2 linked regions of the Zea mays genome follow. The main gene of each other region encodes a partner of the protein of the gene in region 2 in a complex. Links are inferred from orthologs where the notes say so. Each region holds a gene or a part of one and is shown on either strand. Other genes may lie near its edges. The genes, in order: absence of first division 1 and Sister chromatid cohesion 1 protein 3-like.

What was found.
Region 1: Sister chromatid cohesion 1 protein 3-like (region 2) and absence of first division 1 share a complex: the UniProt entries of both Arabidopsis thaliana proteins name them as parts of the cohesin complex. The link is inferred for Zea mays from reciprocal best matches to the Arabidopsis thaliana genes SYN3 and SYN1.

The regions. Positions count from the first base shown.
Region 1 is NC_050101.1:178,058,804-178,063,011, reverse strand, and holds the start of absence of first division 1, read right to left. Parts: upstream 2,801-4,208; 5' UTR 2,618-2,800; coding exon 2,565-2,617; intron 2,382-2,564; coding exon 2,313-2,381; intron 2,206-2,312; coding exon 2,147-2,205; intron 2,040-2,146; coding exon 1,995-2,039; intron 1,890-1,994; coding exon 1,870-1,889; intron 1,764-1,869; coding exon 1,687-1,763; intron 1-1,686. UniProt on the Arabidopsis thaliana protein: Involved in chromosome condensation, pairing and segregation during meiosis. Responsible for cohesion between replicated sister chromatids.
Region 2 is NC_050105.1:43,665,465-43,669,597, reverse strand, and holds the start of Sister chromatid cohesion 1 protein 3-like, read right to left. Parts: upstream 2,801-4,133; 5' UTR 2,708-2,800; coding exon of another isoform or gene 2,584-2,707; 5' UTR 2,382-2,583; intron 1,635-2,381; coding exon of another isoform or gene 1,627-1,634; coding exon 1,373-1,626; intron 1,289-1,372; coding exon 1,242-1,288; intron 1,129-1,241; coding exon 1,097-1,128; intron 1,023-1,096; coding exon 955-1,022; intron 885-954; coding exon 505-884; intron 415-504; coding exon 270-414; intron 1-269. UniProt on the Arabidopsis thaliana protein: May be involved in sister chromatid cohesion during mitosis.

The sequences.
Region 1 (4,208 bases), on a different chromosome or scaffold from region 2:
GCTGGAAGAAGAATGACTCGCATTTGTTGGTGAAGAGTAGCGGATCCGTCTTCTCGTCATATTGTGGGAAATCCAGATGATGGAATCTGGTTGGGCGGTCTTCATGGTTGGCATTGGGCCCGCCTCGTGGACGTTGGTTCCCGTGAGGGATGATCTCCTGCTGGCGCTAATCAAGGCGATCAATGGCAGCCTAGCTTTCCTGTTGCTGCCGTTCTAGGCGCTGTATAGTGGTGTGCAGGGTGTCCAGGGTTGCCAGCCTTTGGTTGATGGCGTCCAAGGCCTGAGCCACTGGATCGCTTGGGATGGAGGACATGGTGGTGGGTAGGTGCGTGGCTGGTCTCCTGAAACCAAGATGTTATGTGGCCGACGGTATGGGGGAAGTGGCAAGGGCGCAGGCGCCGGCCCCTGACTTCGCATGTGGCGTGGACGATCGGTTGGGTGCTGATCTATGTTGGGCAGCAAGGAGGGAGACCGGATTAGGAGGGAAGAAAGACAGTTTGGAGATAATTCATTCCTCCTTTATTTCATAACTTTCCATTACATATATAGGCCAGTTGCATGGCCGCAACCTCCTATCTGCTTGACTCTATCTCCTTAAACTTCTCCTAAAAAATCTCAACAACTTCTAATCTGCTATTACCCCTAGATATTCTTGACTAATATCTCTAGATAAACTCAACTAGGTCTCTTATCCTTAGGCCTGCGCCTGTAAGTGGCGCCCCACATAACATATCACCGGTTCATATCCACTCCATGCTATTTACACAAGGGGAGAGACTTAGGTGTTTGGCTATGAAAGAGCTAGTAGTAATGAGGTCAAATTTATCTATAGAAGTTTAACCCGAAATGTGCTATATCAAGAAAAGATTACATTTCTCAAGTAAATTTCCAAGGGTTATACTACAGCCATAGGAATGGTAATGCCAAAAGAATTAATCAAGGCCGTGGATGTTCATTTCCAGTTCTCAAAGGTAATGAAAACCCTTTTAAGATAGCATTATTTCTCAAGTACAGTATTGTATAGCTAGCAAATGGACACGCTAAAGAATATGCCAAAAGATACTCCAACGACACGAAGATGCTCACATATTGGAAGGAGAAAGTAACTGTTGCACCAAAATATGCTAAATGCAAATCCATCCACCTCCTATTCTGATATCTCAAAAGTCAAAATTATAAATATAAATAAAAAAATAAAACAGCAAGTGATTAGGCCAGTTGACAGAAGATCATTGGGACTCATACATCAGATATCAGAGTATCAGACAGTGGATGTGAGTGCTTCAGCAAGCACAAGGGCCCAGTGAGTAAGGCACAACAAACTACCACGGGAATCGCCAACATGTAGCTGTGAATCCCATTTTCGTTTCCCACGGCACACAAATTGCACCAGATACCAATTCAGTTCAAGCAAACTAACACATATCTATCTCCTAAGAACTTCCATGAACATCTCAGCCAGATCACAACATTCGCCAATCCAAACAACCAGATGAACACATCACAGCCTAAACGCACACACAACAATCTCTGTTTTAAGAAAGCTAAGAAGCAAACACCAAGTCTCATCAATAACAACATCAACAGCATGAATGCAGTGCAACCTTACTCAAACCGAACCCCCTCAACCCCAGCATGTAACATCTATAAACGCTTAGAAAGGGAGGAGACCGGTAGCACACTTACTTGGCTTGAGTTTTACCCTTGGGGAGGACGGTGGGGTCTGTGACCGGTTTGATCCGCCATGCCTCGTTGATCTCAGTCTGCACGAGAAGTTAGTGGTATAACTCGAACTGAATTCGCAAGGATATTCAAATCGACTGACCAGGACACAGAAAACACTCGGGCAGATCCTGAACTAGTTCTTACCAGAAGCCGAGAGACATCAGCTGCGAGAAAGAGAACACATGATCGATTTTAGAATTGGGATGATGAAACACTGGGAATTCAAACAAAATCAACATCAAGTAGGATGTAGGGAGGAAGAAACTTACTGTAGAGAAGCTTCACCTTCCTCTCGTACACGATCACCACGCCACCTGCTCACGCATTTCGAATTTTCGACCATGGAAATTGGAACGTAAAAAAAAACTATCCAAAAAATGGGAGGAACAGTTTTGGGTGGCGCAAGCAAAATCGAACTCACCCATGAGGATTCCAGAGAGCCTCAGAGCCATGGGCACCGAGGGGTTCAAAATTTCCTCACTAAAAGTGAAACACACAAACAAAAGTCAGCAAAAACAAATAAAAAAAACACAAAAATAGCAGTCAAAACCGTGCGGAACTCGAATCCCTGGGACCAGTTTCCCCACCAGATTTTGATGATGTCGAGCTTGTCGAGCCGTTTGCGGTTGATCTTCGAGTGGAGCGTCGCCGCCATCCTGAAACCACAATGCAAACGCAGTTAGTGACCGCCAAATCGGCGCGAGCGTGGCCATCACTGTGGGTCGATGCCAGGATAAGGCATAGAACCAAACGCATTGCAAGGAACAAGGAAGGGAAACGAGCGCGATTAGAGCCCGCAACGAGAGGCATAGGAGGTGCGATCAAGGGAGCAGACGCGCCATATCTGGCCGAGCGGCGCCTTCCGCGCGAGAAGCTGATGCGAGTAGAACATTCTCGACCGAACGGGCAGAGGAGGAGGAGGAAGAGGGCTCGGAGCGGAGCGGCGCGCCGCCGCGGAGGCAGCGAGAAGCGAAGTGTGTGTTGGTATGGGGGTTTTGGCCTCGGCTAGGAGAGGCTGGACCGCTGGACCGCTGGAGAGCTGGGTTGTCTACTTGTCTCTTGTCTCGTAATCTCGTTCTCGTGGAGAAAAAGAAAGAAACGGGGGCGGATCGGTTAAATCGTGCGCGTGGGGAGGGCAATATCGGAAACCTATCGGGGGTCGTTCCGCGCCATTCGCCCATTCCCACGTCCTCATGTAGCCACAGTGCCACACAAATGATGTGAAGCAATCTGGGTATCTTTGGTTCAGGTCATTTAGGGTTTGGTATTATATAATCTAAATTCTATGTAAATAAGCTAGTGATAGACAAACTAAGTATGAAGCAACTTATGTGATAAAATTATATAATCTAGTACTTGAGATTATGATAACCCTATAAGCTTCTCAAAAGATGCTTATATCAGCTTATTTTTAATAAAAGACCCACTATTAATCGTAAGTTGATGAAAATTACCCGGTACTGCCATCCATCTACCCATGATCGTTCTCACCTAGCCCAACTTAGACTTGACCTCTCCTTCTCCTCCCTAATGATCTCCTCCGAACCCTAGCCGCTAGTGTTTCATATGGTTGATTCTAGACCGCCATGGATCCCAACAATGTTGAGGATAACCTTTCCAAAGCTTTGGAGCACCAAAATTTGTTGCCACGATGCGAGCTCGTCTTCGATTGTAACATGTATCATGTTAGCACGCTGAGAAAGGAGACACTGATAGCCCCGACGTATGCGGTGGCTTGGGGCATGGCGTTGGACAAGGCGGTTGTGTATCCCAGAGGTGCAGAACTACGATGTTGAACACGGATAGACCGGCTTAGTGCGTGGTCTTAGGCGTGGATCAACCAATGTTCGGCGCAGAACTACCAGTAGCCTGTCGCGAGGCACGTCACGCGACATGGCCAGCGACATTGGACACAGCGCAACCTCCCTAGAGTTTAGCACTAGCAGAACAACACCTATAGATACATTGAACTCCATAGTTCATTGTATTGCATCTATAGTTATGGTCACTGCAAGGATGTAAATGTTACATAATTTGTTGGAATAATAGAAATAAATCAAAACAAATAACTACATTATGAAGTATGTCTTAAAAGAACCATCTAGGTTAAGTGTGCTTGGTCTAGAGCAATCTTAGGATGTGTGCCCGACCGACAAATCCTCCCTAGTTCGTATGAGTGAGGATAAAGTGCGCACAAAAGACTCGTGTTGGTTTGTAAGGATGGTTTATGGTTCTAGAGGGTTGTCAGGAGTAAGTATCACTGGTCCGACAGTGGATGAGATGTTACAAATGGTATCAGAGACGACCCTCGTGGTTTCACGGACGTGTGTAGGCTAGGGTTTTGGGTATATGTTGCACGACGTATGTAGGCTCAGAGTGGTCAAATGGCATGGAATATGACGACACTAGACATACAGTCACGGGTAAGAGGGAGGTTTTTGGCTTGGGGTTGACCGATGAGGACGTCGGTCTTCTAAGAGGGA
Region 2 (4,133 bases):
TCCGAAAACTGTGACTATGGATCTAACAGACAAGAGAAATTTTCTAACTCCAAACTAAAAATCACTCCCATGGGGAGTCGAAATCAAGACCTAAGAAGTGCTACTCAGACCAGCTAACCAACTCAACTAGAGGCCCTTTCACACAAACAATTGAAACTGCAAGAAGCAATTGTTTTCTGTTAAAATAGAAATCACATTAATCATTGTTCCAAATTATTCCACATTGAAAGAATCTTGCATGCCAAAGTTGAGGCTCAATTAAAACTTACTCATTGGAGAGCACAATTTTGTAATCAAATTTCATCCCTCTCTTCCTATTTCTATTGCTAACTTGTGCTTTTGGTCTTCTATTATCCTTGTTCTCTTGTACTGGACGTGGAGATGGCTCAAGCCGAAATTCAGGTAACTGAATGTCTAAAACCAGAGAAGTAAAAAGAAATGTGTCAAGAGTTGGACAAACAAACAAATACTTCAGGTACGTAATGTTTCAAGACAAATACTAACCAAAATTTAGGGGTGCATCATCTGCAAAAGCATCAAAGGTGTTTGGTGCACGTAAATTGGAAATGGATCTCCCAGGTACTTGTCGACCAGCAGAAGTTGTTTCATCAATAACTGGAGGGGTGATAGCCTTGTTTTGCACAAAAGGTGAAGAATCATGGTCCAAATCCATGGGGTCATCATTTCCAAGGATGGACTCTGTTAATTTCAGGTGAGGAAACTCATGTGGAGCTTCACGCATTTTTTCAGGTGGATCTAGTGCTCCATCTGTCAGATTTGCTATGTTGGAATTCACTGGTGAATTGCCTATGGGACGATCTATGGGAGCTTCTTCATTAGGATCGTTATTAGCTCCAAAACCATCATGAAATGGAGGGGACGTCCTGAACATGATTGAAAAGGAGACATGAATCCACAAGTAGGAAAGAGAGGAAACATATTAAAGAGACATACTCATCCTCGATTGCTGTAGGTCCCATGTGTAATGATGGAGCAGGACCTGATTGCTCTACTCTGGCATCCTGCACAGTGAAGTAAAATATTAATGAACAAGAAAAAAAAGAAGAGAAAAAACACAGTAGGATAGTATGAATACCTCATCAAGTTCTATCATCACATATTCTCCTTCTGATGGTTGAACATTGTTTATCGATCAAAATAAAAACTAAGTTAGGGGTTCGACTCAGGTGGTTGCTTCAAAAAAGAATAAACAAGTATTCACTATCGTGAACTTTCTTTACCAGGCAAGGTAATCTGATCAAGAGTCTTCTGATGATTATCTGGCGTACTGCACAAAGTTTAAGAAGAAAATTACATAGGTAGCATTTGCATTGCATGATATAAAACAATGATGAAGAACATCATTACTTACTCCATCAGAGAAATTGCGTCATCCAAGTTCAAGGCGTCAAGATTTAGTGTTGATGGTAGTGTAATGGACTCAAATGGAGCACAGTCTGCATCAATTGGAAGATCGACTTGGACAGAAGCGAATGAAGTTCTCATTGTAGTTAGCATTCGATTACAATCTTGAAACAGATATTGCACCTTCCATGAATAAATGCGAACTAGACCTAGAAGAAGATGCCCTGATAATCTTAGAGCAATTGGAACTTCAGGGAACATTATACTTTCTGGAAAGGCAAAAGATATTCATTAGAAGACTAGGGAAGGATTTACAGAATAAATCACAGCGAAAAGACATCAGAAATCCTAAATGTAGTATAGAATCAAGAGGGTACATATAGATACAAAACATACTAAGAAACATCTTTTCTAAGGAAATTAGAACTGGAGATGGTCATTATAGAATAAATCCAAAACAATAGAGTGAAATGAGAGGTGCTAACTTGCAGCAACCACAACAGACAAATCACTCAATCACATCCACTCTTCCAAACGCCCAACCTAGGGCTCACCAAATCACAAAGATTTTGCCAATTGTCCTTAGTCGTCAGTCCAACTAAATGAAAATAAGGATGATCTACCTCTTACAAACAAACACGGCCGACTTCAAACACTGCATAACTTCACGTGTTCTGTTCCAGGACTAATAAATGAGGCAAAAGACACAATAGTTTGCCAAATAATCTCACAAGTACATTCCTGGCTCAACGCTGAGGCCATATATTTGGCCATAAATAAGCCATATCTTCTGCGCAAACAGCCTATGCGCTAAAGTACTTTTTCCTTTTGCGTTTCTGCATAAACTGTGACAATAACCGTTCCTTACGGGAAATTCATAATCACTACGGAAATACCGGCAGCGAACCCTAATTGGGAATATCATATACGCAGTTCTGAACTAAAACCCAAAGAAGCCCCCTTCTCCGTTTAACTTGCAGAATGCCGGTTGGGGACCAAATTATCGCGCAACTGACCTTCTGTCGCATGATTCCATCACATTTGCACCGAATGCGCCACAGGGAACACCGCACCTTTAACCCTCCACCAGATGCTTCCAAAAATCCCTCGCCAAAAAAAAAAGAATGGGAGGAGAAAAAGATCCAGTTTTTTCTACCGGCGGACGACAGAGAGAAGAAAAAACGCGCCTTTGGGCAAGCGAGGGCGGAGCCGACGGACCTGCGTAGGTGGGGATGTCGATGCCATCGATCTGCGGCTTCTTGATCTTGCGCTCGAGGTGGGCGGCGATCCACACGGTGCCCAGCGGGCTCTTCCGCGCGAGGATCGTGTGCGAGTAAAACATCCTCGGCGGTCCCCTCCGGCTCACCGGATAGGCGCTGGGGTTCAGATAGCGGCGGTGGTAGCGCAGGGGAAGGCGAGGCGGCGACGGGAGGATACGAGGTGCTGGGTTTGCGAACTTGTTTTTGTTGGGGAAATGCTTTTTGGGGAAGCCGGGAAGGGCAGTTTCCAAATTCCAAAGGGTGAGGAGGCGGGAAGGGAGCTTTTGGCGCGCGGTTTTCGGAAGTAGTGACGCAATGGGTGTGCAAACAACATTTGCAGGCTATGGATTATCCTAAGACTATGTCTAACAATTTACGTATCTGGTCATCTAAAACATTATTTTACACTGTAAATTATAATATTAATAGAGTGAAGTTTGAATATGTATATGAGGACAGGTAAGCTGCTAAAGATAGTCTAATCATTCTTGTCTCTTCTCATTAGGGGTGATAATGAATTCTAAATTTTATACTATAAAATTTAAGTGTCACATCAGACTAAAACCAGGTTATATTACCATTCATTTTTTAACTAAACTTTATTAAGGGTCATATCATATTATGAATACATTACCACGTCTACTTCTCTCTCTATTCTTATTATTTATTCATTAGGTATGTGTCCATACGTTGCCACGAGGCGTAGGAGCGTGGGGAGCGACGTCTAAACTACAAATATATTTTTTGTTTTGTAAACACTAAGGTATGTATGGTATAGTGGTTAGTCACAAATTTCTAGAGTAGAGGGGTATGTGTTCAAGTGCTTGTTCTGCACTATTTTTTGCGAGCGCTGGGCTTGAGGAGGGTGAAGTCGTGGTAGCACCAGTGCCCACGTTAGGTTCTTAATAGATAGTAGATATTTTTCAATACTTTCTATTCTTTCATTCATCCCCTATTTTTTCTCTTCTCCAACCATTTCCCTTATTCACCTCCTCTTTACACTTTAACTCAAGTATTTGACTTTTATACATCATTTCTGGAGTTCAAAAAACTTTGTAATAACATAATATACACATTGTTATATGGGGTTCAAGTGCTCGTTCTGCACTATTTTTTGCGGGCGCTGGGCTTGAGGAGGGTGAAGTCGTGGTAAGAGATTTTTCAATACTTTCTCTTATTTCATTCATCCCCTATTTTTTTCTCTTCTCCAACCATTTCCCTTATTCACGTCCTCTTTACACTTTAACTGAAGTATTTGACTTTTATACATCATTTCTGGAGTTCAAAAAACTATACAATATTTGTAATAACATAATACACATTGTTATATGGTAATTAAAATTGAAAATAATTAATTTATCCATTAAGAGCATTCATTAATGAAAAGGGGAGCTTTGAAATCCTCATGTACATAGTGAGCAAACATTCTCACCCTCGCGATGGGGTGAAAGAGAGGACGTAGTTGGAGAGCACCTTACACTAGTACACCAAATAAAGGGAGGGCGATAT